4 linked regions of the Drosophila melanogaster genome follow. The protein of the gene in region 1 interacts with the protein of each later gene in a pairwise test. Each region holds a gene or a part of one and is shown on either strand. Other genes may lie near its edges. The genes, in order: CG10750, sala, Pglym87 and Nup62.

Region 1 (7,586 bases):
TGCATGTTGTATGATGTCCTACGCTGTATCGCACAGGAGTCCAGCTCGAATGGCTATTTCCAGTTCCACGCCACAAGGAGAAGGACGAGGAGTGGTCCCCAAGACTTCCCGAATGTCACCCGTGTACTGGAGATGGTGTGTGCGTGTGTAGCAGTTAATTTGTTATTCAAATTTGTGTGTTATATATTGTTATTACAATGGAAATCGTTGGTCAGGAGCAGCTCACTTGTTCTTGCCGACGGGCACAGCAAAGGTTAAGGCGACTTGGACAGGGTCAATAGTTTCGTTTGGCATTGAGGAGGTTGCCCGTTGGAGACCAGCAAATTGATGCTTTCTGGATTATTTATCATTAGTCTATAATGTTGTTGGGACTCGAAATAGGATTTTGGAAAGTATAGAAGTTGAATATGCAATATCATATAGAATTTTAAAAAGCCTTTATTGTTGGTATTGTTAATTCTAATTTGCAAGTGCATCAAATCGAAATGCATTCATATGCATATATTAGTCGCAAGTCTCATCTTTTCCCACTTATTTATGAGGTTTCTATCGCAAGAGAAATAAATTTTCAATTGATTTGAATGAAATCAAGTTGTGTGCTTAATCCTCAATTTATGCTATCTGTATTCATATAACAAGCATTTACCTAACAATCGGACCCATTAATTAGCTCCCCGGTCAAGTGGAGTTGGTGTCCCCAACTCCCCGATGTGCCATTCATTCACCTTGACACCTGGAAGAAAAAAAAAACGCCCGAGCGATGGAAACCCTAGAAGAGTTTAAGGGCCAACAACTATCGAGGATTAAGGCTTAACCGTCTGGTCAAGCGTCTGGCCGGTTCCTCCTCCTCCGAATCTGATTCTTTGGGCTCGGATGGGGTCTGCTCGGGTTGTCTGGTCGGGTAAACATCGAGGGGAATATGCGACTGCTAAGCGGATTAATTTAGTGACGTGCTGCTCAATGGGGAAGCAAACGGGTGGGGCAAATTGAAAATAGAAAGAAGTGGGAGCGAGGAACGTGCAACGATATCCAATCATAATTATAGAGTCCAACGCCTCGAGTCGATGAAATTTACACAACAAAAGGTGGCCGCGACATTTCCAGCTGTCAGCATTAATTAAAATGTTTCCATACATCACCTCGTCCGACTTCTTACACCTTCTTTTTTCGGCAATCCAATCCCGAAGACCCAAAGACCAGGCAGAGCGGAAATGTCACCAGCGGGCACCGGGAAACCAAAACACGACTAGAAGCCGACATGGCATAAAGATGTCAGAGAAACCGAGTGGGTTGGGGTATTAAAAACATATTCTGAATCGCATATGTGTATGGATGTTTTCAAACTTATTTCTGTCCGCAGGGCGTTTGTCATCCCGATAATTTGTGGTGCTGATTAATTTTTGCCACTCCTCGCACTGAAGAAGTGCAAACTTTTGGCAGAGCACAAATTCAAATGTTTAAGCCAATTATTTTGCCGGTCAAAGGGATTGTTTTTCTAGCATATGCATAATTAACACGATGACATCTAAAAACTGTTTTATCGAAATTGTTTTATGCATTTTCGCATCAATTATTGAAGTTGAATCTGTCAGTTAGCCGGCATTAAAGTTGCATTGCAGCAAAAGTGTTGAGCCCAAACCCAACTTGTGCATTTGCTGAAAAAGCGGAGGTCGTGTCAAGAGTTCGACAGGTTAAACGACGAATCGAGACTCCTGTCAATAAATAATTGAAAATCAGAGCCGCCGGCCGAATGGTCGACTATTGTTTTTTGTCACCGTCTCTTTTCGGTGGTAATTAAAAAAGTTTTTCCCTGCTGAAAAATAGCAAGAAAATTTTCAATTGACCAGAGAGCGGGTTTTTTTTTTTAGACCGGCTAATTGTCATGCAGAGCAGTGGTAAGAGGAACATTTCCCGGGCTGACGTAATTAAAAAGCCGTCAAGCGAAGTTGGCGCAGTTAGCGCTAAATGTCGTCCAGTTGATGCACAGACTCTGGAGCTTAAGTACTGGCCTTCCATCCCGCCTGCAGATCTCTAATTAAATAAGCAAGTGTCACATTTGTCTTGAGTGCCCGACAATTCGGTGACTTATGATGACTGCAGAGCAGGACGCGACGAAAGCCGCTCCAGGACCCCAATTCGGACCATCCACTTGGACGGAGGCATTGAGGAGCAGCGGAGAAGATTTATGAGGTAAAAGCAATTAGAAAGTGGCATTAACAACCGAATGCAGAGCTCAGCACAATTAACAATTGCCACAAGCTGCAGGAGCAGGCTAAGAGCAGCGAACCATCACACAAAGCACTTCTTTCTATAGAAACAAACAAACGTTTTAAAAGTTTCGCTTTTAATAAGCTTTTATAGTTGTAATAGCTGTGAGGTGTGCCTAGTCTTCCCTATGAACTCTTTGAATTTTGATATCCAATTAGCACAGCGACTTATCTCTGGCTTCCTCGTGCTTTATCGAGGGATCAGATGATTCGATTTCCTTTACAACGCCAGTTAATATTTCCACTTCGCCCATGATGGCATCCAACACCTTGTCCAAGTCGCCGCGAGCGGGAAACGAATGTACATCTAAAATAATAAAATGAATAAATTATTTAATAATAGCAAGATTTTTTGACTAACCTCTTCGCCGTAGAAGGATTCGGTGAAGGTTGGTAATCGCATCTATTGTGCGCTCCTTGTCCATGTAGTTGTTGTTGATGGCGTCCTTGGTCTTGGCCAGGATCTTCTCCCATCTGAGGCACTGCACTCTGGACTCGTTGTAGGATCGTTCCAGTTTGGCCAGATCGTTCTTTAGACCCAGCACAGTTAGAGCCGCATCATTTGTGATCTGCACCATACGCTGCCGCATGTTCTCGATGTCCTGGAGCTTTTGATGCTCCAACTTGTTGATCTCCACTTGAGCCAGCACTGTAGAACAAAAAAAAATTAATAACTTTATTTCATTTTATAAATTAGCAATGCTCACTCAGCGCATCACAGCGATCGGTGCAGTCCTTTGGCGAGACGAATATGTCGGATACCTTCACCACCTCGTCGAGCACCTTCTCGTAGGGCTGGAACTCCTGCACGGTGGCCTTGAGAGCCTCCCGAAAGGCCTTGAGTTCGCCGATCGAGTCCTTGAAGCTCTCAATGCCCTCGCCGAGCTCCTTATGGTTGAGCGTCTCCGCTTGGGCGGTCTTCTCGGCCACTCTCTTTTTGTCCGCGCAGTCCTTGATGAAGCTGTTCACCTCGATGAAGCGCCGCCTCAGCCGCTCCTGGATCTTGTACATGTTCCTCACCCGGGCGGAGTTCAGCTTGGTCTGCCGCTTGGCACTGGTCAGCATCTCCTCCTGCAGCTTGAGCATGGCTTCGTGCTCGCGGAGATTGTTCACATATATCAGTTCGATGGAGTCGCCGGCAGAGTCCGAGTTCGGTGGAATTCTACAGGAAGTTACGAATAGGTCAAATAATTGATACCAGATAGAGACATCCTTGCAACAGTAAATTACGAAGCTGTAAAATTTCTCAAAAATCTCAAACTGCACTACCAGGATCATTTTAGGATTGGGTACTTCTCTTTCAGCCTTTTTTCAGTGTGGGATTCACTACTTACACGAAGAATTTGTTCTGCTGCTTAGAGCTGATATAGTCCCCCACGGCATCCTCCGGCCGCAGGTCCAGATTTCCCAGAACATCGAGCTTCTTGGTGGGCTTCACGCGGGGCATCTTGGATCTCTTTGCCGAAAGTAAAAGCTCAAGTGTACGTTTTTGTTAGTTTTTTATATTTTTTTTTGCTTTGGTTACCGCGATACAGCGCGGATTGTGCGTTTTGTAGTAGTAGTTGTGTGTGCTGTGTGCTTACTTTTCAAAGTGTGTTATTGTTTTGTAATAAAAATTAACAAGACCTACTTGGAACATGTTTTTTATTTGGGTGACACATAAAAACAATTGGTTGCCAGGAGGTTCTTTTATTACCGTGGCAATGGTTGAGAAGGTGTAACCAGTTTTGTGTCATGGTAACTGCACAATTTGGTTTCTTTCGAAAAAACAAAATAGGAAGCTTCTTCGGCAAGCCGAACCTAATATACTCTTGATACTCGATGATGATTAATTTTTAATCAACAACTATAGAATTATGATATCTTTTCAATTGTTTTTACTTGATTTAACGACTGGTCGTACTTATGAAGGAAACGTCAGCAATTGCATAAATATCTGAATGTAGTAATAAAAAATGGTTTAATCCTTTTATCCTTGACTGTGCTGTCTGCCCATATACATGTAGAATTACTCATCACACATCGTTCTCCAATAGATATTCCCCCAATATATATCAATATATTTGAAAAGATTATATTTTAATAGGACAAGATGCCGCGACGTAAGCCCACCATTAAGACCGATGTGATCGGGGATCTGGACCTCAGTCCAGAGGTCGCCATCGATGACTATCGCGTCTCTCGCCAGCAGGACCAATTCTTCGTGTAAGCTAAAAGAGCAACTACAATATGTAAGTCATACTATTAATGAAACTTGGATGGTCTAGGAAACCGCCCAATTGGGATTCGGCCGGGGATAACATCGAGATGCTGTACATAGCCAATCTCCGGGAGTACGACGCCATGAAGCAGGTTCAGATCCAGCTACTCAAAGATGCCAAGCGGCAAGCCGCATTAAATGTGCAGCGCATTCGCAAGATGTACAAGATTCAGGAGCGCCTGCGCAAACGCTTCGTCGAGGTGAATGGATTCATCAAGGATTGTGCGGACAAAAAGCGCAGTGCGGATAAGTCGATTCGCGAGGAGACCGTTCTCCACGCGGAGGTCACCAAGGAGATAGACGAGTTCAAGACCTCCATTGCCGAACTGAGCACCTTTCGCAATGCGCTCAAGGCCACGGTGGCTCAGTTTCAGCCATACGAGAGGGTCCTGGAGGAGGTAGTCGAGGTGTCGGACATCTTCATCTCAACGAAAGACTGCATCGATCGATGTGACGCTCTAAGTGGGTTCTCCACACCTCCTGTAATTTCCATTCTAAATTTGTTTTTGTTGTGCAGTGTTGGCCCAGGTGGAGATCAATAAGCTGGAGAGCCAGAAACTCAACGAGATCGAGGAGATGCGCCTGCGAATGGTTCAGATCACCAGCGAGGCGGCCTTGACCGTTTTGGGCCTCAAAAACGATCTGGCCCGTTTGGATCGTTCCTATGTCAGCTCGCGGGCCACTTGCCTCAAGTGGGAAAAGATACTAAGTGCCTGCAAGGACACCACGTCGCTCTACAACCTGGACAAGGAGCGCATGTTTGATGGCATTCAAATCCTGTACCGCATGCTCTGCAAACGTCGAGGTATGTCCTTGAAATCCTTTGACTCTAGCTGATGTACCAACTCCACCCCCGCAGACATTGTTCCCAGCTACCACAGCTATGAGATCGACAAAATCATGAGCTTCATCATGCGCGAAATAAGTCTTCTTTCATCGGTCCTCCAGGAATTGGAGTCCAATAAGGGCGATAAAGTCGGCGCTGGACGTATGTGCTAGTCGGAAAATATAATATTTTTCATGGAGCATAAATAAATAAATAAATGATTTTAAATCCTTTAATTAATGGAACGAAGTTCAAATAGCTTTTACTAATTTCCGTTTGGGTTATTTTTACTGCAAATATTTAAAAAAAATTCAGCCGAATCAGAGATTAGAAGGGTTGTAGCGAAGGAATAAATGTACGACTTGATTTATGAGCTCCAAACTGTTTAGGGTTTTTTGTTTGAACCGAGAGGCCTTACATCCTTTCAGATTTACTCTCATTCCTAAGAACTTAAATGGGCGCTCCACCTTCAGCTTTATGGCACCCATAACATTTGTCTAACCCCAAAACCTTGCCAGCCCTCCCAAAAAAAAAAAAAAAAAAAAAAAAAACTAGAGAACCCACAACATTCGGTTGGGCATTGTTGTTCCGTGCCCAAAAGAAAATCAAATGGAATCCGATAAAAAGGAAATGCATTCGAGGACTGAGATACCAGAGGCTGGGCAACTTTCAAGTGGCACACGAACTTCAAATCAGGGAAGGACAAAGCGATGGGCAAGAAAATAAAGTTGGCAAATCGAATCTGCGACATCTTTCCATTCAATTGCCAATTGGATTCTATGGCCCGGGGATAATCTAACTTAAGCACAGATAATTCTTTTATGCGAACATTTTGATTTCTGTCCTCGCATTTACAACAACGTTGGCTCGAATGGAACTACCAACTAATTTTTGTGCCCGAGAACCGTTGCCACGCCCCCGCTCCAGCTCCACCTACCGCCCACACGTACGCCCACCCAGGGCATTGAGTTGAGTCGCCAGCGGAGGCGTGGCACTTGTCTCTTATTCAATTTGCTTTATTTGATTTGCGATTTTTGCTGATATCAGCCCGAAGGAAAACTCCCAGGACTACCGACAGGACACTCGACGATATACGTAGCCTAAAAATCAAATCAAACGGAAAGCAAACTAAAATGCACAGACATTTATTTCGAGCAAGAATAAAAAACAAAAAGCAATGGTAAGACGAAGCGATCGAAATCGAAGTAGTTCGGCAAAATAAACATTTGGTTTATTTAAATGGACCGTATGGATGGGCCACAAGTTGGCCCGCAAGTTGGCCCACAGCGCCCGGCAGTCATTTTTTGTACATTTCGGATTTTACTTTTGAGTGCGACAGCAATTACATTAAATTGCTTGGCGGCATGGGGCTGGCTCTTAGTAAAATCATGCAAACACTTTAGATTTGTTGCCTGCAATTTAAATAATTGAGTAACGCATTCTATGCCCGCTTAGATTTGAGTTTTTGAAGTGCCTGTCATTAAAATGAATCTTTTAGATAAATGAGCAGCCGCCGCCTTCTCCGAATTTTATCATCGCAGATACCAATTCATTCTGTCCTGTTCATATGAACAATAAAGCCTAATGGCATTCCCAGCTAATCCCTTAATTGCATTACAATTAACTGTCTGCGAATTAAATAATATTGCCAGCAATGCGGTGTAGGTGAAACGAGGCCACGCTGATGCGAGGGTTGCTTGAGCATTTCTTGAAATACTTTCAGTTTCGAAATTGAGCTTTAGAATTGTTTATCACAGTTGTTGTCCCAATTACTTCGAACTTTGCAGATAAACTATGCGCTTTGAATGTCAAACTGCAATGTGATGTAGAATTTGCACATGAAATGGGGCAAAGCATATTTCAGACTCCCATTTTTACACATTTTGCAGAACTAGTTTGAGCAGACCCTTTGAATTTCTTCCTTCCAATTTAAACTTGAACCTCCTCTCAAAATGCAATACATTTATCTTCCCTATCATTTGAATTCTAACCAATTCTTTCCTTTAAAATTTAACAAATATATCTCTTAAAAGCAGACAACTATTAGCAAGGGAAAACTACCTTTCCGCCCCCGCAATTATCCTTTTCGTAAGTTCTGCAGCTTCTTGGCGCTTTTGCTGCCATTTGCTTTTTTCCCGCTTACTAGACGAAACACTTAATTTAACTTTACAAGTTCTTAATGTGACGGCCAGACAGAAAAGTTGGGCGGCGGAGGACGAATGGCTGCCCACTT
Region 2 (8,300 bases), 7.8 Mb from region 1:
GACACAAGCACAAACAAAGATGGCAGCCAGACAGGCGGAACGTGAAAAGCGGAGCGGAAAAGCGGTAGAGCGGGAGGGACAGCGACGATTTCCCGGGGCCCAGCCGAAGATGGAGCGAGAGGGGAACAGGGTCCTGGAAGAAAACTCAAATGAAAACTGATGCGGATTAGTATTTAAAATAATGTCCTGCAGGGATATAACTTGTGTCCACCCCTCAAGCCGTGGGCCTCATTCCGTTTGCTTTGCTGCTTTTATTTTTTCTCACTTGATTTTTTATTCTTTTGTATCCTTATACTTTTCTGCCATTTTAATTCCTTCGCAGCGATTTTTTCTTTCGGAGAATGTTTCATAAAATTTATATTTGCAGATAAGTGTGCTTTCGGGTGGCAGGGAAAACGGACGTTTTTATTACGGGACAATTTACATATTTTTCTTGTTAAAATTCCTCAACATTCCCCAGCCAACTGGATGGTCCTTCGTGTCATATGAACTTTCCCCATTTTCTTGTTCCTGAATTAATGTTAATTTTTATTACACTTACTGTATCGCTCCTGCCCCACGAACCGATCCCCCATTTCATTTACATTCAAGTTTGTTTGTCTAAACGAATTGGAAAAAAAGAAGAAAACCAAAAAAAAAAAACTTGGAGGGAAAATACCAATGGCGGAGTCCAGATGAAAATGTTAATAATAAAACAACAAAATCCGAATGAATGCGTTTCAAATCGAAAAATAATAAAAATCGAATCGCTCTCCTGTCTGCAGGACATCAAGTCCCCCAGTCGATGTCTCATTACGTATTCCCCGAACAAATTCTATTAATTATCGTTATGTCCTTCTGCTGGGTGACTGCAATAGCAGGACTTCCAGCTGTTTGTCCGCCCGTCTCTTAATAAAGGTAACATGGGGGATTTTAATTTCTTTCAATAAAGAATGCTTAGCTTCCCTGAAAAATGGTAATCAATTTGCTTCGAAATTATTTGTAAATGTAAGCGGTGCTTAGAGGAAATTTCTATTTTTACATTCCCCAGTTGGACTAGCGATATCCATTTAACAATCGAAAATCACAAAAATAGTTTTGTGTGCATTTCCCGTGTGATATTCAGCTACTAAATTATTCCCAATTCAATTTGCAATGGCCAAATAAAATCACAGGCAGCCAACTAAAGAAATGGGACATCGAGCACTCGTACTGGAATATGCAGAGATGAGCAATTTGTTGTTCCGAAGCTGCTGGCGCCCGTCATGGAAAATTCTAAATGTTTCAATCAACTATTCGCAATATTAAATATTAACGTAAAACTCGAGTGGAGTTGTCTCGGACTGACCCTTTCGATGCCGTGCCCAAAAGGTCATCATGTGTCTGCAAACACACTTACATCGTATGGATACTAGAACGTACACAAAACAAAATATTATGTCCTTATTTTTCCAACATGTTTTTATTATATGTAAGTTGATTGATATCTGTATTTAGTAAGGAGTTATAGTCAGGAATATCCTTAAAAATATAGGAATTCTTTCAGTGTACTGAAGCTGGCAAAGTAATTTTGGACATTTTTCATCATAAACAGCAATGACTACGCTTGCAGTTGGGGGGCTCAACCCCTTCTGGGAATTTCTTCCTTGGCCGGGCTTTGATTTCGAATTGGATTTGAATTCGGAATTTTTGGCTTTCAAGGACCGCCGGAGGTTGAATTGGAAATGGCAATGGAGTCCGAGTTGGTCAAGTTGGTCAACGCATAAATATTTCTCTTTGTTCAGCCATCGCATTGGAGCCAAAAAAGAGCATTACGTGAGTGTGCGAGTGAGCGTGTGTACCTGTGCACCACACATCCTTGCCTGTCTGCACTCATCCCATCCTCCCTGTCTGCTCGCCATCAACCCAGCACCAGCACAAACAAACATGCAGAAGGATCTGAATATGGAGTGGTGGGCAGCTGGGAAGGATACTCAGATATGAGCAACGGTCGAATGGTCAAGTCAAAGTTATTGTCATGTCATGTAAGTGGCAGCCACCCGACGTTCACACCCCTTTCGGTATCCTGTCTCGGTCAGATTTTCCAATTTCATCATCATCTTCCATACAGTACAAGTATGCCATTTTGTTTTCCCTTAGCGGCACACAGTGGGTACCAGAATTGTTTTTCACAAAACCTTTTCATATGCACATACATTGTTGTACATACGACAACACCATAAATATATGCTTTAGGAGCATATTCGTATATGAACTAACTTAAACATACGTTACATTTTTGGGCATTATAATAGAACTTGAAGCTCTTGGGATAAAAAATATATAAAAAATTATTTTAAAAAAAAACTTTACTCATTTCTTCTGGTCTCATGAAAAAGCACTTCACGGTTTGAAAATTGTGAAGAGTATATGATGAAAAGCTGACACACGTGCGCTGAAGTTAAATGTATATACCACCAGCCAAAAAAAGCATTATCGCAAATTCACCGAAACTTTTCATAAGTTTGGAGAGCGCTGGGGGAGATCGTGTTCGAGAAAAGGTTTTCCCCGTGGGTTGGGTAAAATGTAAATATCGGTGGTAATGGCCGCCGCCCCAGGAGGTGGAAAAATCAACTGACCAGTAACTTTGGAGCCAACTTTGATGGCATCTTGCGAAAGTTGAAAGTGACTTAAGTGAAATTTCCACCTCAGGCGGCTCAGCAGCAGGACGACCTCGTCCCCTTTTCCATGGATTATCGAGGGGTCACGCCATGAACATGAGTAAAAATTAAATTGATTTTCCTCGGACATTGTTCGGACCTGTTCAGAAACTCGGTGTGCTTTTCTTTTTGGCCCTTCATGGGCTTCTGTCAACCCAATGTATTTTGTCGCATCCCTCGGAAAACTTGAGCTGGGCGAACTCCTTTAACTTGCCTATGTGGCATATTAAATTGGTGCGCAAATAGTTGTGTATTTTATTGACTCACTTTTACAGCTCAGCCAAGAGTATTTCGCATCTGCCCAAATTTTTAGCCAGCAAAATATTAAGTTGAGAGCTTTACCCCTGGAGTCTACCAATGCCGCAATACCATTCCTTTTCTACTCGACTTAAGCGACAATTTCATTTCAATTAAATTATAATTATATCTTCAGTTTGGCCCCATCAAGTTTGAGTCAAACAAAAAGTACAATTTTCATTTTCACCTTTGCGAAAGACGAGGCGGGCGTTGATAATTCCCCAAAATTGTTTGACACTTCAAAGTCATTATGAAGATAGCAATCACCAAACCCTGTTCCTCGGTCCGCTCAACTTTTCTCCAAGGGTCCTGGCATATCTTCACGACATTCACTCCCTGCCACTTCCAAGGCTCAGCAATCCTTCAGCTCCAGCCTGCCCCTCGTCCTTTTGCCACTTTACTCAATCCTAAGATGGGAATTGCCACGTCTGTCTACATACCTACATACCCGCAGCGCTTTTTGATGTAATTTTGGCATAAGCCAAAAAATGTTTCCTTTTCCCGAGATGTCTTTGTCTCCACTTCATTCCCCGGCGAGTGGTTTCCGAATGCGACACGCCCTGACAAATTCATCCGGGGAAAATGAGGAAAATGGCTGAAAATTAAATTTGGAATTAAAATTTTGGCCCTGGGCACATAACTTTATGCCGCTGGATTTTCTTTCCGCCCAGAAGGATTTCCTTACTCAAGGATAAATACTTAAGGCAAGCGTAGGCATAATAATAGCTAAGCAGCTTCTCGGAAATTAAGACGATTTAGTTGTTTAATTCTTTGGTTATCACTAGACTCCACAAATAAAGAGATAGATTGAAAATGTAATTAGATAATCAAATATAATTTTCACAGTTTTAAAGTTTAACAATATTGCTTATTTAAATGGTTGCTTTTCACCTCCGAATTTACTTTTAATCTCATAAGCATTTGAACTTGTAGTATTTTTGGCGGCGATATGTTATCAACAAACAACTCTTCCAAAAATAAACCTATATATTATTTTTTGGCAACCAAATACAATGCCACTCTAAATTGTAAATAACATTTAAGCAGCTGATCCAATTCTTGTGTTCAAAACAACAAAATTCAAAGCAATTAATTGTGCGCTGGTTTTTCTTTTTGCCTTTACTTGTATTAGGAATTATTCTTTAAAATATTTATTGATAGAGAAAAAAATATCCAGACTTATATATATCAATGAATTCGGCCACTGCGTCAACAAATCGAATTCTAACTTGTTTTAGCTATTAAAAGCAACAAATAAATGACGTATTAATAAGTACGCTAAAATAAACCAGTTGCAAAACAAACATTTATTTACTGTATATTGTTTCCATTAAGATAGAAATAGGAAAAAATGTAAGTCAATGAATATATACATAGAAAATATTCTTATCAGCTTACCATATGTATGTACAACGGACGTATAAACATATATAATAATTTTTGCATATAAAAAGATTCAAATGCATCTTGTTCTCAAAAATATTAGTCATACATCTTTTCAGATCGTTGCTCTAAATTCATCTGAGACTCGATCAGATGGGCTGTCGGCGATTTTCTGGAGGAGGACATCACCCACACGGAGGTCCACCTCCCCCTCGTCACCATCATCACCATCGTGGCAGACATGGTGCTGGTGGACGCTGTGGACACGGACACCAGCACCAGCCTTTTCCACCACCGCCTCATCGCCCCCATCGACATGGAAGTCACTTTTGGGAGGGATACGGTCCACCTCCACCACCGCCCCATTATCCACCACCAGGGGGATATCTGTATGGTGGCCACCATTGGCAGGGATATCCTCCTCCGCCACCTCCGCCTCCTTCTTCACACCACCCCCCACCATCTGGATCTCCAGCAGGAGGGTGTCCGCATTGCGGTTGCCCAGGAGGCGGTCCACCTCAAAGTGGATTTCCTGGTACCGAAAGACCTCACAACGAAACCTCAAACGACGATCAGCATGGCAGCTTCCAATCTCCAATTCCCGGTGGCGAAGTTCCTACTGATGAAATACCTGGAAAAAATAAATACGAAATCATTGATATTTAGACAACAGTAGAAAATGTTTCAAAAAAGGTAAAGTCACTATGTTATATCTTGTATCTGAGTAATGTCTTATTAATGATTTTATATTATCCGGATTTTCCTGATCAAAAAAATCGAGTAATGTTATGTTGATAAAAACTTTTCAAATATCAAATAAATAAATATAAATAAACAAATAATTTAAAAACTCCTTTATATTTCCGTCATTTCAATATGGTACTGAATTAGTATTAGTATTCTATTCAATTCCGGATTTTTCTGTTTTTCCATTTTCCCTCTTCCAATAAACTGGTTTATTTTATTTTCCATCGTAACCAGATGTTGACGGCAATACTTTTCTGTGATTTCCTTTTACAGGTAGAGACTCAAACTTAAGTCCCTCAGCCAGGTAGAATACCTTTCAGCTACCTACTTGATATTACCAAATCGTGGTATAAAAATCAAAAAAATATTAGAGCCGCCTCAGTACCGAAACTTCAGCCACGATGAAACTACTGGTGCGTCTTCTACTATAGAAATCTTAACTAACTTAGAAATATTTTTATAATAACAAATTTATAACTATAGATTGCTCTGTTTGCACTGGTGACCGCTGTGAACGCTCAGAATGGATTCGGCCAAGTTGGACAAGGAGGATATGGAGGGCAAGGAGGATTTGGAGGATTCGGAGGAATCGGCGGGCAAGCAGGTTTTGGTGGACAAATAGGATTCACTGGACAGGGTGGAGTTGGTGGCCAGGTGGGAATTGGTCAAGGCGGAGTCCACCCGGGTCAAGGAGGATTCGCTGGACAAGGTTCTCCAAACCAATATCAGCCTGGTTACGGAAGTCCTGTGGGATCTGGCCATTTCCATGGAACTAATCCAGTTGAGTCCGGTCATTTTCACGAAAATCCTCATGAATATCCGGAACATCATGGCGATCATCACCGTGAACATCATGAGCACCATGGACACCACGAACATCATGGACATCATAGACATTAGTACAAATATGAGAATACCCATGACAAAATTAAAGGAATGTAATGCTATAGTTCTCTACCGTAAATTCTTAAGAAACACTTGCTTGTTTCTGAAGTCTCTATTGTATCTAATGTCCAGAATTGATTTGTAAAAGTGATTCTTTATCTAAAACCCCCTTGAGATCCACTATACAACGTGCCTTCTTGAATTTCAGTATCTAAAATGAAAAAAAAAACGGAGTCTCAATAAAAAAGTAAATAAGGAAACGGAACCCTTTACTCTGTCCATTTTGGTTGAGGCATCTATAAATTATTTTGCAGATAGCATACAAGCATATATACCCCACACATCCCATCTCAACTTTTGCAATCGGAGAAAAGGATGCCGTCGACCGCTCCCAAGCGACATTTTCTGACCAAAGCAGCTGACAGAATTGAAAAATAAGCGACGTCCGACTAAAAGGGGGAATGGGGAGGGAATGGTAAAGGGTGGGGTTCAGGTGGGTGGGGGCTGAAGGTGAAAAATAAAAAATGGCGTCCAGTCGAGTGCTCAACCTCAAGATTTATAACGAAGGAAAAAAAATAGAGTCGAGGTGAGGGTGGGAAAAAAGAGCACACGTTAAAATAATGCAAAAGCTGAAGAAAACTAAAAAAAATGTGCGGGAAAAACTGCCACCCACACGGCCAAGGAAAGAGTGAGAAGGAAAACCGCACACACACTGATGCGCGCAACAACGGAAATGGAAAGGATAAAATTAATTTTTCTCCTTTATTGCCATTTACTTCACCTGCTGCTGCTGCTGCTGCTTTCTCCCACTCGCTCGCGCTTTTCCTCGAAGGAGAACGAAAAAGTGGCCCGGAATAGCGGGGCGGCTCAAAGTGGGTGGTGGCCAAAGGGTGAACCACCCAAGCGGCAACATTGCTGACGCTATCAAACACCACAAACACATTTAGTTTGCGGGAATTTGTTTTTGCGTCGCTCACTTTTCTTGCTACTTCTTTTTCTTCTGGCAATTTGCGCCATAAAAATGTGAAAAAAAAATTTGCAAAAAATAAGAGCGGAATAAAAATGCCATGAGAGGCAAGAAGAAACTGTCCGACAAATAAAAATGGCATAAAAATATTCCACTCACCTGAGAGGTGCGAATTGGGTCCCCAATACACTGTCATATAAAAGGATGAAGATTATAGAAATTTAAATCTTTTAAAAATGTTGTAATTATATTTTAAAAAAGCTGTGCAAAAATATTGCTTAATATTTATTAGGGAATTTTTTATTCTTGCTTTTATAGATAGTAGTAAAAACTCTAAACTCCAATTTTAGATTAAAGATTTGTATTCGCATCCCTTACAAATGGCACCAAATCAAAAGTTCAGTGCCGGTACTTTCACAATATTCTTTCTTCTTCGCTTTCTTCATCTCTGAACAACTCGGTCCGTACTATAAAATATCTATAATAAATCTACTTTTTTTTCAGAAGCACACTGAAAAACTCACTGAAGCCTCGTCAAATAAAAAAGATGGCAAAAAGGAGGGAATTTAATACAAAAAGTCGCTCACATGTGAAGGGAAAGGGCAGAATGTAGCCGTGTCCAGTTCAAAGGGAATAAAAAAGTGGAAACCAATAACAGCAATGGGGATGCAGGACAGTCAGCAGGAGGAAGAAAGGAAACATATCAAGCCGAGGCGAAGTGAAGCAATAAAAATGAAATGGGAGTACCAGGAAATAGGACGGGAAATATTATGTCCCCTCTTATGGATCAGATAACTAGATGAAAGTGGAAAATGGGATGACCTCACCTAGAGTCCAGCCAAAGTTTCCCTTTCTCTAACCCTTGGTTAACATTGCGCATACGCAATGTGCGACGACGCCATTTGGGGTGGGGAATTATGAAAGTGACCGCTGGAATTATGAATTTGCTTGATATTCCCAGCCAATCGGAAGTGCAACCAACAAATTTCAGCCAACCACAGGAAGGCTTTTTGAACCTGCGCTTATTGCATAAAGTTATGTGTATATATATCATAAATCCATAACGTGCCATACACCCTCATTTTTGAAGGAAAAAACCCAACAAGGCTCGGTTGTCGCTGGCTTCAAATTACAACCACAAACACAACGGAAATGGGGGCGATCGCGGGGGTAAACAGCCCTTAGAGCGCACCCACATGCACGCACACAAGCACATTTCGCTTAAGTCAACAAAAGAGGGGGAACAAGCGAAAAGAAAGCAAGCGATTTTCGGTGGTGAAATACCGAGTCCGGCGGCAGCACCCTCAATGCCACCCAATTATAACCGAATGGGGAGTTCGAAG
Region 3 (7,557 bases), on another chromosome or scaffold:
ATTAATAAAATGATAAACAACGTGAGTTGAGATTGCAAATTGAAGATTTACATTTTTGTAACTTTCCTATTTAGATTCTGGACAAAAAGCTAAATTCAAACCCAGAAAATTATTGCGAGTCAGAACTAAAGACTGTTATACACAGGGCGATTGAACTTTTTCGTAATGACGAAATGTCCTTAATGGAGTTAGGTGCCGAATGCAGCAGTATGGTTCTCGCTGCTTTCGAGACAAGCGCCCACACAGTGTATTATGCCCTCGTTTTGCTGGCCATGTTTCCTGAACATCAGGAAATGGTCTTCAATGAGATTAAGGAGCACTTCCCTTTGGCCAAAGGAATCGAGGTTACCCACACCGATCTTCAACAATTGGTTTATTTAGATCGCGTTTTGAATGAAACCCTGCGATTGATGCCATCCGTTCCGTTCAGCTCGAGGGAGACACTGGAGGACTTGCGGCTATCAAATGGAGTTGTCATCCCCAAGGGAATGACTATCAGCATAGACATATTTAACACTCAACGCAACACTGATTATTGGGGCTCAGAAGCAGCGCAGTTCAATCCCGAAAACTTTCTGCCGGAAAAAATCCACGACAGGCATCCATACGCCTTCATTCCATTTTCAAAGGGAAAGAGAAATTGCATAGGTCGGTTAGCCTTGGAAAATACTAAGTATAAGTATAAGTAAGGTTTTAATACAACATTTTTTATTTGTATCAGGCTGGCGATATGGACTGATGTCTTCGAAACTAGCTTTAGTCAAGATACTCAGAAACTACAAGCTAAAAACCAGCTTTCCCTACGAAAATCTGGAATTCGTTGACCACATGGTCATAAAGCTTGCTCAGTCACCACAACTGGCATTCGAACGACGAACTTTATAACATAACTTTCTTATTTTGAAAATTCTATTATATTGGCTTTAAGAATTCTTTTTATACAGCCATCACAAATAAAACGGTTTGGTAGTTTTGATTATGATTGTTTTTAAAACTTGTAAGTATTGATTTGTTTCACCCGAGATCTTCTTGGCCAAGATACTTAGAAACTACAAGACAAACACTACTTTTTTCAAAGCAAGCCTTACACCGGCAAGGCTTCAAAGCAATCTCAAAGTAAGTATATGAAAAATAGGAATTTATTTTTTATAAATGTGCAAAAGGTCAAAGTGGAATTGGCACATTTATGAAAGGGCGAGTTAAAAATATTCTAGAGCAATTAAATGCTATGCATGTTTCACCTATATAAAGCTCGTCCGAATTCCCAAATATTCATTCAAGACCGTTCACCCAAATCGCAGATTGAAATGCTTACGCTGCAAATTTTTGAGGCATTTGCAATCATTTTATGTGTATACTTTCTATGGAGTCGAAGAAGATTTTATATTATGATGCTAAAGTTACCAGGACCAATGGGCTTTCCGTTTATCGGACTTGCCTTTGAGTACATTCGCCTAAAACGTAAGTAATTATATTTTCGAATTTAATTAGGTAAAACTAAAAACGTTTTTACACAGGTAAGATACGCCTGCGTACCATTTTATTTAAAATATATGGAAAAACGGTATTGACTTGGATTGGCTTAACTCCCGTCCTGGTGACCTGTGAACCTAAGATCCTTGAGGACATTTTCACGTCTCCCAATTGCAGCAACAGGAGTTCTGTGGTGGACAAGGCCATTTCATCATGTTTAGGACTGGGCCTTCTGACCCTAAAGAGTAAGTGAAAAATTCTTATAATTTCTTGTTTCTTAATTGACAATCAATTGTAAGTATAGATAATCATTGGAATGAACGACGAAAACTTTTGTTACCATCGTTTAAGAATAATGCTGTTCTAAGTTTTGTGCCAGTTTTAAACAATGAAGCCAATTTCCTGGTGACCTTACTCGCGGAATTTGTCGATGGGGGAGATATAAACTTACTTCCAGAACTCAATAAATGGTCATTCAAAATAGCCGCTCGTAAGTAAATAGGTTGCTATATTCTTATTTTATTAACTCTATAATTTAAGAAATTACTATGGGTGATGAAGTGAGAAATCAAGCGAACTACCAGAACGGAAATCTTTTGGAAAGCTACAAGGCGTATGATTATTTCTATCTTATATTAGTAGATTTATTTATACTCTATTTATTTTATAGCCTTAACAACCTAATACCCATTGGTGTTGTAATGCCTTGGCTCAGGAACAAGTATCTTGGAAAGCTATTTAGCTATGAAAAACGACGACTAGAGGCCGCAACGCAGTCAAATGCATTCATCAAAGACGTACTTATAACTCAGAAGTCAGAGATTTCCTTCTAAACATATGCATATTTTCAGATAATAGACAAAAAGCTGAGTAGCACAGATAATAGCTCAGAACCGGCACTAATTGACCGCATTCTCAATCTTGTGAGAATCGGAGAACTTTCTTATGACGACGTAATGGGGGAATTTTCTAATATCATATTTGCCGCATCCGATACTTTATCTATAACAGTCAACAATGTGCTTATCCTGATGGCAATGTTTCCTAAATACCAGGATAATGTATTTGAGGAGCTAGCAGAGGTGTTTCCTTCAGGAGGAGAATTCGAAGCCAGTCATGCGGATCTGGAGAAATTAGTGAAGCTGGATCGAGTTTTGCATGAGACTATGCGTTTAATACCGGCCGTTCCATTACTGATAAGGCAAACTTCCCATTCTATTCAACTATCAAACGGATTTTATATTCCAGAAGGCGTAACCTTAATGATAGACATTTTTCACACTCATCGTAATAAGGATATCTGGGGACCACAGGCTAATGCATTTAATCCCGATAACTTTCTGCCTGAAAATAAGCGAGCAAGGCCACCTTATTCCTATTTACCTTTTTCGAAGGGGAAGAAAACATGCTTAGGTGGGTAACTTTCTTATAATTCCTTTACACTATTATAATATATTATGTACTTAGGTTGGAAACTCTCGCTGATATCTGCAAAGCTAGCTCTAGCTAAAATATTACGAAATTATATGCTGAGTACCACCTTTTTGTACAAGGACCTTAGGTTTATAGACAATACCACTATGAAGCTGGCTGAGCAACCATTACTAGCAGTGAAACGTAGAATATAATCATTAAAGAATATTTCCATACTGTTAGAATGCATGAAATAAAAACCTCAAAGTAACCTTATTTCAACGAACTTTTCTTACTGTCATAGGTTCAACCCGGCACTTTTAATAGAAAATCCATTCGAAATGAACACGATATAGACTGCAAACACTTTCCAAATTCAAAGTGTCCCAAAATGTTGGCTCTGGCCAGGAATTCGTGGTGTGGCCAATTGCTGTGTCGCGTGGCGAACATCGAAGCCCGCTGCCCGTTCTCGAAGTCATCATCCGGCGGAAAGCAGGCCGAGAAGAAGGGCAAGTACAGGATTGTGATGGTTCGTCATGGAGAGTCCGAATGGAATCAGAAGAACCTATTCTGCGGATGGTTCGATGCCAAGCTATCGGAGAAGGGGCAGCAGGAGGCCTGTGCCGCTGGCAAAGCGCTCAAAGATGCCAAAATTGAGTTCGATGTGGCCCACACCTCGGTGCTGACCAGAGCCCAGGAGACACTCAGGGCCGCCCTAAAGTCCAGCGAGCACAAGAAGATTCCGGTGTGCACCACGTGGCGCCTCAACGAGCGCCACTACGGCGGACTGACGGGACTGAATAAGGCCGAGACCGCCAAGAAGTTCGGCGAGGAGAAGGTTAAGATCTGGCGCCGCAGCTTTGACACCCCACCGCCGCCAATGGAGAAGGATCACGAGTACTACGCCTGCATTGTTGAGGATCCGCGCTACAAGGACCAACTGAAGCCGGAGGAGTTCCCCAAATCCGAGTCCCTCAAGCTCACCATCGAGCGCACCTTGCCCTACTGGAACGAGGTCATAGTGCCCCAGATCAAGGATGGAATGCGTGTCCTGATCGCCGCCCACGGCAACAGCCTGCGGGGCGTGGTCAAGCACTTGGAATGCATCTCTGACAAGGACATTATGAGCCTCAACCTGCCCACTGGCATTCCTTTCGTCTACGAACTAGACGAGAGCCTCAAGCCTTTGGCCACGTTGAAGTTCCTCGGCGATCCGGAGACGGTGAAGAAGGCAATGGAGTCGGTGGCCAACCAGGGCAAAGCCAAGTGATCCGTGATTTTGGGTATACCCAGCAGCCTCCGAAGAAGGTCAGAGCAATCAGCTCAATGCACTTGTATGCCAAACAAAAGCGGCGAATCGAAAGTGGTGCTCACTGTGGCCAGGCGAATGTCAAGAAGCAAATAAATTTATTTGATTTTAATTGACAATGAAGAGTCAACAACGATGGGCTGGCTGGCCGTTGGTCTCTTGGTCTTGGTCTTGGTCTTGGTCTCTGGAACTCAGGCGACGGTTCTGGGTCCCAGGGTCTGGGTCTGGATGTGGGTCTGGGTCTGGGTCTGAGCCAAAGTCCAGCCGTATTTATATGTGTTTCCATTGCGCTCGTTTAAGAAATCAGGGAATCGAGTGTGTCGCGTCAATTTTAATTGCTGCGGGATGAGTCTGAGCAGCCTCTGGCATTCCGAACGGGTCGAATTTTAATTTGTTTAAATGAAATACTCATTTAGGGCTTATTGACAAACAAATTGAATTGATTGATCTAAATGAATTTATATGCTGAGCGCGGTGCCCAGCGAGACTCAGATTCCCTCCGAATGAGATGCGTTGAGATGGATAGGTAGGTGGTTGGAGTTTTGGTGTTTAGGTTTAGTCTTCTGAGCATTTGACCCGTTGCTAGCCGTCTACCATATGGGAGTTAATTTGGGGCCAGATTTTCCATGTTAGGCTCGCCGAGCGTGGCGAGCTTTGATCCAGTAAATTGAGAGCGTGAAACGAGCTAGGAGACGGGCACTCTGCTGGCAAACTTGGGTCCTCTGCAGGATCATCCTTCCATGAGGGCTGTGCGAACTACAATATCTTGCTGACTAGTGTGGCGCGAAGAGGCTGAGCTCCACATTATTTGAACCTAATTACACAGACGCAGTGGAGCCCAGACCGAAGTTAAAGTTAAAGTCAAAGTCGGCGCCCCGTCAAATTGGTATACCAATTGCAGCATAGAAACGGCGGGAACATAAAAATGTTTGCACTTCGTTTTTGTCGCGCATAAAATCTAATATCGAATTACAAGGCCCGGTCTTTGGAGAGGAGTCCAGAGTTCGCAGAACAGTGTGCGTGTCAGCGAAACTTTGTGGCAGGCTCCGTCGACCAAGCGCTCCGGCTCCACATCCCCACGTCTCCACATCCTCAAGCTCGCATCCACATCCCGCTGCCATAAAGAAACTGAATTGAGTTAAATGCGCGATAAATTGCTTTTTGCATTTATCATGGTCGCCCTGGCAGGCGGCAGCCCAAGTTTTCGCTGGAGTCGGGCCAAGCCTAGACCACGAAGATGGCAAGGCGACTCTGTGGACGCCACACCCGGACTGCCGAACTCCTCCACCCTCCCTCTGGCTGTGGCGAATATTGAACAAGATTTTTAATTAGTCGCCAAAGCGTAGAAAGTGGGGGGATGTGACCAAGAACGCAAGACTTCGAGGAATTTAGTCAAGTTCGGGCAGAGACTCGGTTTATTTATGCGCTACAGGTCGGTATTTATTGGGCCAAGTCTTGGTTGATCACCTGACTGATGTAGGGCAGAAAACTGGACACCCGCGTGTAGACGTCGGGTCTGCCCTGGGCACAGGTGGATGATCCGTAGGAGACAATTCCCACCAAGTGCGGCTGCTTACCGGGCCTAATCAAGGGTCCACCAGAGTCGCCCTAAGTTTGGGAAAGCATGATTAATTCCGCTTAGCGTGATATTACTTTTTGTTTACTCACCACACATGCCCCTTGACCCTGGACAGCCAGTGCGCAGATCTCGTTCCGAGTCACCCGAAATCCCTTTTGATTGCAATCCTCGTTCGAGATGGTGCGATAGTTCAAAGCCTGCAGCTGATCGGGCAGAGTCGCCGAGGAAGTGGATGGACTGGTGGATCCCCAGCCGGTGAGGCGTACCGGAACCTTCTCGCCAATGCGATCCGAGCCACCGATTAGAATTGTACTGATATCGGATCGCTCCAGGCGGAACGGCGGAGTAACCTTGACCAGGGCAATGTCATTGATAATGCGAGGATTCATCGAGTACTGGGGATGGACGTGCTTGGTCACCAACCGGTGACGTAGTCCACCGGCCTTCCAGTTAAGCGTCCCCACGACCACGCTAACGTCCTCGACCTTCATCTTCTCCATACAGTGGGCCGCCGTAAGGACGTGCTGACCGCTCACAATGGATCCTCCACAAAAGTGCTGCCAGCGTCCACGTCGCTGCATTTGCAAGGACACCTGGAAGGGCACCGTCTCGTTCACGCGCTGTCCTCCATTTATCCTAGTGGGTGATTCGGTGGTCGAGGTTACCACGTCAGCTAGTCCTTGGCGAAGGATCAACAACATGCAGAAAAGCTGTAGTACTACCATTTCAAAATACGATCACGATTCAACTGTTGGAAATGAATTGCATTCCACTGCAACCCATCCATTTTATACATCTCCATGCAGAACAGCCTTATCATTTATTTGGCAATGTAAACATTTAAATTCCGGTGATCTTGAAATGTAATGTGGGCTGAATCGGTGTGACCTTTCCCAAATATCTCCTACAAATAACACATATGTGCTCATGTACACTTAACAAAAATACTTTCCTTTTTGTACATTAATGTAATTCAATTTAATACATATATTTAAAGATAAACATTGGCCAGATCTATGTAATATATACCATTTTCAAAAATTCGGATTCAAACAGTAGTCGAGGAGATCCCACCTGCTGCTCCGCTCCGTGCTGCCCAGTTGTCGCTTTGCGTGTCTGGTTATCATAAGCTAGCCGGGATGCGATCCTTCGATGCCATCATAATACTGGGCTTGACAGAAGCGCCTACCTGTTGTCATCAATTAGGTAACACGCTCACGCGACCGATAAATATTAAGGCAGCTCTAGCCGAATCCCCATATCGGTATCTGTCTATCTGGGCGACTGAGAATTCGTATCTGGTCGCTGTTCCCTGGCATGATCTCTTATCTGATTTGCAAATAAGAATCTGTTTAATTTGCCAATGCTCGAGCGCAAAACCAACGCCAGATCGCTGCATGTGTTGGTGTCCAGAGTCATAATTTATATTACTAGTTGGAGAGGAGTGGAGTGGGATTCCTCTGATTCGCTGGAAGAACGAGGTGCTGCTTGTGGTGCGATCCTGGGCAAATTAAGTACTAAAATAAACGACCAATTTACTGATTATGCAAAACACGCAATTAATTTTCCACTTGCAAGCGAGTGCGAAAATTAATTGCCTGCGAAGTGGAAAACTCATTCGACTAACCAGACTGATCCCGTTTGTTTATGTGGGGTTCCGTCATAATCATTTGCATACGAGTCGATGCAGAGGAAAGTTTTTCCAACCTGTTCTTGATTGACCCCAAAAATCAACATGGCTAGTTATACCCTTCCAGAGCTGCTACTGTATTTAAAGCCTGAT
Region 4 (7,481 bases), on another chromosome or scaffold:
AACAAAAGCGTTATTGCAGCGTAGCGTGTAGAGTTCATGCCAAGGCCTAATTTTTACTAACTATTAAAGTTTATTTATTTTAAATGTTAGACGTAATGATAATTCTTTATGATCTAATCTAGTTGCTGGTAAATATTTCTTACCGCTCCCAGGACATCCAGCCCATAGGTGGCCTAAAATCGACAGAATTTCAATTAAGTGGCCTAGAATCCAATCAAAATTTAATACTCACTTTAGTGCCAGGCCATTATCGAGGCCCATGGATAATTGCAGAACCTGCAGCAGAAGAATCCCGCCCAGAAAGACGCCCCACGTTCCGTACATGGCGAGCTAGTGGCACCGACTGAATCCTGGCCTTTGGGCACCCAGGGAATTTATATTCTCCAGCGGGCGGCACTCCAGATAACTCTGTTTGGCAGGGGCACCTGAGGAGCTGGAGGTAGGGGAATGGCACCTGAAGAGCTGACAGAAGGTTAGTGGCTAATTGCTATTGCAGCGGAGTACTCCCATCGACTGATTGGTGTTCGCCGGGTGGCGCAAACAGCGGGCTTTCTCGATTGCAGGAGGAGCCGGAGCCCCTTATCACGCCAAGTTCACAGCGATCACAGGGAGCAAATAGAGAAAATCGAGGAGAGACCGAGAACAGGGGCTTTTGATTCTGATATGCTTTTGTTGTTCAATTCTGGCGCTGCTTGCCAGCTACACTGGTCAACAAAGTTGGGGAAATAGTTGGAAGCATAGTAGACTAGAGCACGGTACTAGTGATGGGAAAACATGTACTAACAAAACATAGGAACTATGGTCTTTTATTAGAAAATTTTGATCTGGTTTTTAAGAATAATTTAAAATTTCTGTTTTTGAGGATCAGATCTCAGATCTTATGAAAATCTTAAAAAGAATCTTATTACAAAAAAAAAAAAAACCGAAGGTCAAAGACAAGCTCTAATTGTTGTACCGCATTACGTTTGTACCTTAGGTAATTTTTCTAATTTTGTGGCTGGCAGCTCTGAAGAGAACCTACACAGGTACGCAGAACGAACCTTCTGATAGGAAGCACACATGTGTTTAGCTGATTTAGCAAAATGCAATTACTGAACTGAGTGCCGCTGCACTTTGGGCTTGTAATTGAATTCTTTTGACCCAAATGTTACCTTATCGCCTTTGCACTTACAGATAGCAAAAGATGACTAATTAAAGCCGGTGTTTTGTTATTGATTTTGTTTGTACGATTGACTACGTTTTCTTTCTGAGTTGGTTTTTTTATTTAAGTTGCGCGGAATGATTTGTTCCATGTACGACTAAAACTGGAGCTAAAACATAGCTCTCGACCAGTGTTGTTTGTCGATTTCGCAAGTTAGTTGATCGCTGGTTAAAAAAACGGACACAGACATAAATATATTTTAAAAGTGCAAAAAGTGATTGCAAACGTTAAAATAATATAAATGTTTTGGTTTTCAGCATGTTTTAGTAACAAAAATGTATCGTCGACTGAGCAAAGTACTTCATTTGTATTGCCAATTCAAAGAAATTTAAAATTTAATTTTGCCGCCCAATCTTCAAACTGCTAAGTGTTTTGGCTTGAAAATAGCTAGCTTGAGCTCAAATTTAGTTGATTTCCAACACCGACAACATTGCGGAACTCCAAGGAGGGGTCACACTGGTTGCTTTTGGCGTGTTTCGTTTGATTTAGATTTATATTATTCGTCTTAAGTTTAAGCATGGTATTCCAGTTGCCAACAACAACCGCCGCCCCGACCGGAGGCGCAACATCGTCGTTTTCCTTCGGCCTCAGCACAGGAACACCAGCCGCAGCACCAGCTTCAGGAGCAGCAACCACGGCTCCCGCCACAAAAACCACATTCTCTTTCGGAACACCGGCACCTACTGCTGGTATCGGTGGCGGAGATGCAGACAACAGCAAGGCGCAGGCTCCACCAGCCTTTGGATTTGGCCTGGGATCCGGGACTGCTTCAGCTCCCCTCACGCTGGGCACTCAAGCCGCCGCAAATCCAGCGTCCACCACTTCTGCGACCGCGACTGGAACCTCTGCTGCTCCTCCCGCCTTCGGAGGCTTTACGGCTCAACCAGCGGCATCTGTGGTGCCAACTATAGCAACCAGTGCACCCAACACCGCAGCTACCACAACTGGATTGCTGGGCGGGTCTGGATTGGGAGCTCCCAAGACCACGGCCGCTGCGTCCACAACTCTGACTGCAGCTCCGTCGGCCATAGCCTCCACGCAGGGAGCTGCACCGGCCCCAACTTTAAGTACTGGTGGTGCTTTTGCCAATCTCACTACCGAAACCAAGACCACAGACTCATCGGCCGTTTCCACGGCATCCCAATTGTCCTACCACCAACTTGAGGAGCATATCAACAAGTGGACTCTCGAGTTCGAGGAACAGGAAAAGGTATTCACCGAACAGGCCACTCAGATCAACGCATGGGACAAACTGCTCATCAGCAACAACGGGAAGATCGTCGAGCTCAACGATGCCGTGAAAAAAGTGAAAACCGATCAGCAAGTGCTGGACCAGGAGCTGGAGTTTATAGCCACGCAGCAAAAAGAGCTTGAGGACAGCCTGGGACCGCTTGAGAAGGAATTCGTTAATCTCCCGAGGGTGGACATGGAACGCAGCCAAACCTACCTGATGGTGGAGAATCTGGACACACAACTGAAGCAGATGTCCGAGGATCTAAAGGAGATAATAGACAACTTGAACGAGGCCAACAAGGGCCAGGACACCACTGATCCCATCATACAGATCGGAAAAATCCTTAATGCCCATATGAATTCGTTGCAGTGGATCGAATCGCAGTCGACGAACATCAGCAAGAAGCTGGAAGACATTGGCAAGATTCAAGACTCCCAGAAACGCGATATTTTCCGAGCTCCTTTCTAAAGATAAGTCCCCTTAATTTGTTAACTTAAATAAAGATGGTTCCATTGTAACCACAGAAAGAGTAATGATTTTATTTAAGAATTTATTGTAAACATCATACTGCCTTCAATTAATAACCCTTGAAGTACTTAAGCCTAAAGAGCGGCACCTGTTTGCCCTTAGTGGCAAAGGCCAGGAAGCTGCTGTGCGGCGAAAAGGCCATGGAGGTCACAAAGCCAACCTTCTCGTTCTGTGCCGGGAAATTGGAGTACACAGTGGCGCTGGGGAAATGGGCCAGCTTAAAAGCATTCGGCGCCTCACTGGAGCACATCGCCAGTAGCTCAGATGAGTGATTGAACTGGAGATCCGTGATGGCAGTCCGTAGGTTCATGAAGCGCTTCTCGGGTTGTGGGGCCTTGGATGCGAAAATGCTCTCGTAGTCGTAGATGTTGACCACGCCCTCTTGACTGCCGGTGGCCAGTAGGCGTTGGTTGGGAGACAGTTGAATGGACTCTCCATGTATACAGCCGTCGTCCATGAAGATGTGCTCGATGAGGTTCTGGCGCAGGTTCAGCACGCTGACATTGGAAGTGGAACCGCAGACGAGGATCCTCTTGGAGTCACTAGACCATGTGAATCCCTTCACTTTGCCCTCCTGCTTGAAGCTGTGCAGCAGCTCATTTGTTTTGGCCGTGAGCAGGTGAATGGCTCCAAACTTGCCAGCAGTGACGATAAATTTGCCACATGGAGACACCTCAAAGCGGTGCATAAATTCCATTGCGCCCGGCAGCTTTAGCTTCGATTCCTTGGCTTCCAGCAAGTCGTAGGAGTAGTAGAATGGTTTCACAGAACCAAAGAACGCCCTTGTGCCGCATGGAGCAATTCTGGAGCACGCCAGCGGGAACTTCTTGAAGCGCATGTTGTGCAACCTTTCGTTCTTTTGCCCATCCACGGCGTAGATGGTGGCTAGGCCATTCATGCCCGCCACTAGAGCAGCAGTACTGGTTGGATGAAACTGAATGCTGGTGGCATTACCCTCGGCATATGTGGCCCTGTTCAGGTCTTTGACCCGTTTAAAATTCAGAGTCTTCTGGGGCAGATCACTGTTCCGGGCTTTACGATCGATAAAGCCAACCGTCCGCAGCAGTTCTTCGTCGGAGGATACGTCCTCGTCGTCCTCATTTTTGACCTTCTTTTCCGCCCACTTGGGTTGGTTAAGCGTGCGCTGGAATCGCGCCGTAAGATACTCCTTGTACGATTTATCCTTGCGCAGGTGGTTCAGTGGACCCGTGTGCTTTGTGGCCTTCTTGACATCGCCCACCTGCAGGTCCTCGTCATCGGAATCCGACCAGGCGGCTTTCCGCTTGTCGCCTGGCTTTGCCTGGCCGGGATTTTCCTCCTGCTCGTCTTCGTCATCGTTCGGCAACTTTTGTCCCACGGACTTGGCTAGATTGGTGAGCAGTCGCTGCCTGTCGCCGAAGAGCACCTTTTCCATGGGCACCTCCACATAGTTGAGCTCCTTGGCCTGCGAGGCCTTTGGAATATAACGTTCCCTTTTGATCTTTGCCGGTTTCTCTTGCTCCTGCTGGCCGTAGAGGGCCTTCAGACTCTGCAGCTCCTCCAAACCGTCGCTGGACTCGTCTGAACTCATCGTGTTCGCTGGAAATGCACGCAAATTCGTTTATTTACGAACTTTTCTTTGGACCGCAAAAAAATATACACGTGCAGCTGGGCGGGAAATCGACTAACGCTTTAAATCAAAAATACCACGCCACGGTGGATTTATCGATAAGTGTGACCACATCGATAGCAGATCGAAATAGATATCGGTGGGATGGGCGCCATAATTTGAAAATTATAAAAAATATTACAATTAAAAAATATATTTATTTAATTTAAAATTAAAATGTGCGAATTTGTATAATCAATTATTAAAACTTTGCACAACTTCTGTAAATGTTACCTCGCTGACCTCGGTGATTTCAATCTCACGCTTTCTTTTGCATTTATCCGGCATCTGGCAAGTTTTCAGATGACGGTGAAGGAAACCCTCATATTTGTACTTTTTCCCACAACGATCACAGATTAATTCGGGCCTTCTCTTCCCTAAGATCTTTTTCTCCTCCTCCTGGGCCTTCAGCCTTACGATACATGCGTCGCACGCGTATCGACGGGTCACTTGGCCAGGCTTAAAGCAGGCCTTGAACTCCGTGCGACAAAAGACGCAATTGAAGGTCTTGGTGATGGTGTACGCCCCTTCGTAGGATTCATCCGTGGACTCGCACGGTATCAGATGGCTCTCCAAATGGGTGCGATACTCCAGATCCGTCCCGAACTTGACATGGCAGGATGCACAGGTGCGATTCATTGATGGGCTTCCATGCAGGAGCCTGTGGCCGATCAGGGCATCCACCGAGGAGAAGATTTTCTTGCAAATGTTGCACTGATGCTGGGACACGTCCGGCACATCCTTCATCATGCGTGCCAAGCGTCTTTGGCAGGCCATCAGATGGACCTTGTAGGCACCGGCCGTGCGAATCACATTAGAGCAAAGCGGACAGTGGAAGCGTTGCGTGTTGTCCTCCAGGAAAACTTTCTCCTCTTTTATCGGCTGCAAACAGGGCGCCACGTACACCTTGGTAACAATACCATTATCCTCCTGAATCGACAGTAGAGTAGCTGGTTCCAGCTCCTCGGAAATCCAGTTGCCAGCACTTGTCATAATCCTTTGTGGGCTCTTGTGTTTCGCCAGTAAGAAGCGTACGAAGAAAGTGAGAAAGTCGCCGGTCATTGTCATTGAAAGATAGAAAGTAATACTCGATACTCGATACTCGGAAACTGTCAGGGCTGGAAAAGAAAGAAAGCGTATACGCGATAGGTATGCCTCAAAAATGTAAACTTTTTAAATTTGTCCAGGCAATGAAATTCGAATCCAACGCTTTCCTCCAAAAAAAAATTAAACGTTTTATTCGGATTACCATAAATGAGGTGGTAATATATTTAGCCATCATTTAGTTTAACCAATTAAGCAAACAATCTTCATGCATTTTTACTGTCTAAAGCAGAAGTATACATACTATATATATTCGGTTTAATTTCGTTTTTAAATGAAGTAGGTCAGCTTCACAGTTTCGAACGCAGCAAATAAATTATGTTTTATGAACCATATTAAAGGCTTCTCCATGATTTCGTCTGTGTTAGGAATTATTTTTAAAATATCATCTTAGAGACTTAAATATAAATTTAATTTAAATTAATTTCTAAGGAAGATAGCTATAGTTCAATGGCAAGCCTGGGCAGAATAAGATCTATACTCGTAAAACTGATTGTTTAGTTTGGTCTTTGAACTGTAAAATGCAGGAACATGTCTTTCGAGTGCCTCTAATCCCCGCCCAACTTCTGGCATTGTGGTAAGCTCCGGATCCCTGCTTTATGACACGCGTAATGCGAGTCAAAATATGCAATTAAACAAAAACTTCTTGACTGGAAAAATATTTGCATAACTTGGGCAAACAAATGTCGGAGCACGTCGTCCTCGTCACCAGTCGACAATGTCGAGTTGTTGTTGAACTTGTCATTACACACGCACAACCAGGAGAGCACCAGTCTCATCCACCCACTAACCACCCAACCACCCACTAATTTACCCATCCACTGGGGGTGGTGCTCTCGCCAAAGTGTGGATTAATAGCTGGGGTGGTGCTGCTGCTGCCAGAAATCAGCGCTCGTAAAATTTACGTAAAATTCATTAAGCGCAACAAAAGACGCTGACTGCGTGGAGCAAAAGGGGGCAGGGGCAGGTTGGAAGGGAAAGGGGGGGTGGCGCCTGCAATCGCTTAGAGACAAAGCCCTGCATAGTTGATAAGACGCGTCCTTCGCGGGGGGAGGACGTTGCTTGTAGGAGCAGTGGGTGTTTAGTTGGGTGCCTGGGTGGGTGACGGCTTGGCATTTGTGGTGCCCTCGAGTGTCTCCTGCCAAGTCAGGCGTCAAGCCGCACGGAGAGCAACCAATTTTTGTCATTTCAAAGGGTCCAGCATTATTGTTGCGCCATCCAGGCGGCGATACACTAGCAAATAATTTTCTATAAATATTAAACATACTTATCATTAATTTTAAGCAGCGCGAAGTTGGGTTGTTGGTATTTCCTCAAAAGATTGTGAATTATTTAAAAAGCATACACTATTCTTGAATGTATTATATGCTTTTTAAACCATTTAGGCTATTCTTTTTAGTTATTTTGAAGTAAGCTATCTGAAATATGAATATTTTTCATTTCAGAATCTGTTGATTTCAGATTAACAGAATATGGGATTCTTTTATATCTTTCTACTAATCCTTTACGCAGAAGCTTTTTTAATCGTTTGCCTTAAGTAATAATAGCTAATCAAGTTCCAAGGATTGAAGTTTGTCTAAGAATCGCTGCATTTTCTGGGAGTGTTCCCCGCCCATTTTCCGCCCACTTCCAATATCCTTGAGTTCCTGTGCAGCGAGGCGCTGCGATTCAGCGCTCCTTAAGTGGCCTGACATTGTGGCAGATCCTTTGCAGTCGCACTCCCAACTCCCCGCCATGCCAGTATCCCCCATTCCGCGCCCTGCATC

Evidence for each region.
Region 2: the proteins of CG10750 (region 1) and sala interact in a two-hybrid assay, tested with the Drosophila melanogaster proteins (one large-scale study listed by BioGRID).
Region 3: the proteins of CG10750 (region 1) and Pglym87 interact in a two-hybrid assay, tested with the Drosophila melanogaster proteins (one large-scale study listed by BioGRID).
Region 4: the proteins of CG10750 (region 1) and Nup62 interact in a two-hybrid assay, tested with the Drosophila melanogaster proteins (one large-scale study listed by BioGRID).

What each region holds. Positions count from the first base shown.
Region 1 is NT_033779.5:19,296,014-19,303,599, forward strand, and holds CG10750 (uncharacterized protein), read left to right. Parts: upstream 1-4,241; 5' UTR 4,242-4,359; coding exon 4,360-4,472; intron 4,473-4,534; coding exon 4,535-4,989; intron 4,990-5,044; coding exon 5,045-5,332; coding exon of another isoform or gene 5,333-5,334; intron 5,335-5,386; coding exon 5,387-5,526; 3' UTR 5,527-5,587; downstream 5,588-7,586. Other genes in the region: CG17564 (uncharacterized protein), read right to left, coding at 2,423-2,574, 2,629-2,916, 2,975-3,429, 3,602-3,714.
Region 2 is NT_033779.5:11,480,704-11,489,003, forward strand, and holds sala (spalt-adjacent), read left to right. Parts: upstream 1-4,003; 5' UTR 4,004-4,328; intron 4,329-4,477; 5' UTR 4,478-4,511; coding exon of another isoform or gene 4,512-5,024; 5' UTR 5,025-5,051; exon of another isoform or gene 5,052-5,080; intron 5,081-5,378; 5' UTR 5,379-5,506; coding exon 5,507-5,518; intron 5,519-5,588; coding exon 5,589-6,005; 3' UTR 6,006-6,246; downstream 6,247-8,300. Other genes in the region: CG43355 (uncharacterized protein), read left to right, coding at 4,512-5,024. UniProt on the Drosophila melanogaster protein: Likely to be involved in the establishment of the head.
Region 3 is NT_033777.3:12,228,398-12,235,954, reverse strand, and holds Pglym87 (phosphoglyceromutase 87), read left to right. Parts: upstream 1-3,225; 5' UTR 3,226-3,277; coding exon 3,278-4,156; 3' UTR 4,157-4,310; downstream 4,311-7,557. Other genes in the region: Cyp313a2 (cytochrome P450 313a2), read left to right, coding at 1-21, 75-648, 722-885; Cyp313a5 (cytochrome P450 313a5), read left to right, coding at 1,308-1,461, 1,518-1,718, 1,778-1,963, 2,014-2,086, 2,144-2,270, 2,325-2,886, 2,941-3,101; CG3916 (uncharacterized protein), read right to left, coding at 5,636-5,803, 5,864-6,499.
Region 4 is NT_033778.4:16,342,863-16,350,343, forward strand, and holds Nup62 (nucleoporin 62kD), read left to right. Parts: upstream 1-1,514; 5' UTR 1,515-1,718; coding exon 1,719-2,903; 3' UTR 2,904-2,966; downstream 2,967-7,481. Other genes in the region: CG7997 (uncharacterized protein), read right to left, coding at 144-173, 233-324; wcd (wicked), read right to left, coding at 3,013-4,533; CG15710 (uncharacterized protein), read right to left, coding at 4,807-5,604. UniProt on the Drosophila melanogaster protein: Essential component of the nuclear pore complex. The N-terminal is probably involved in nucleocytoplasmic transport.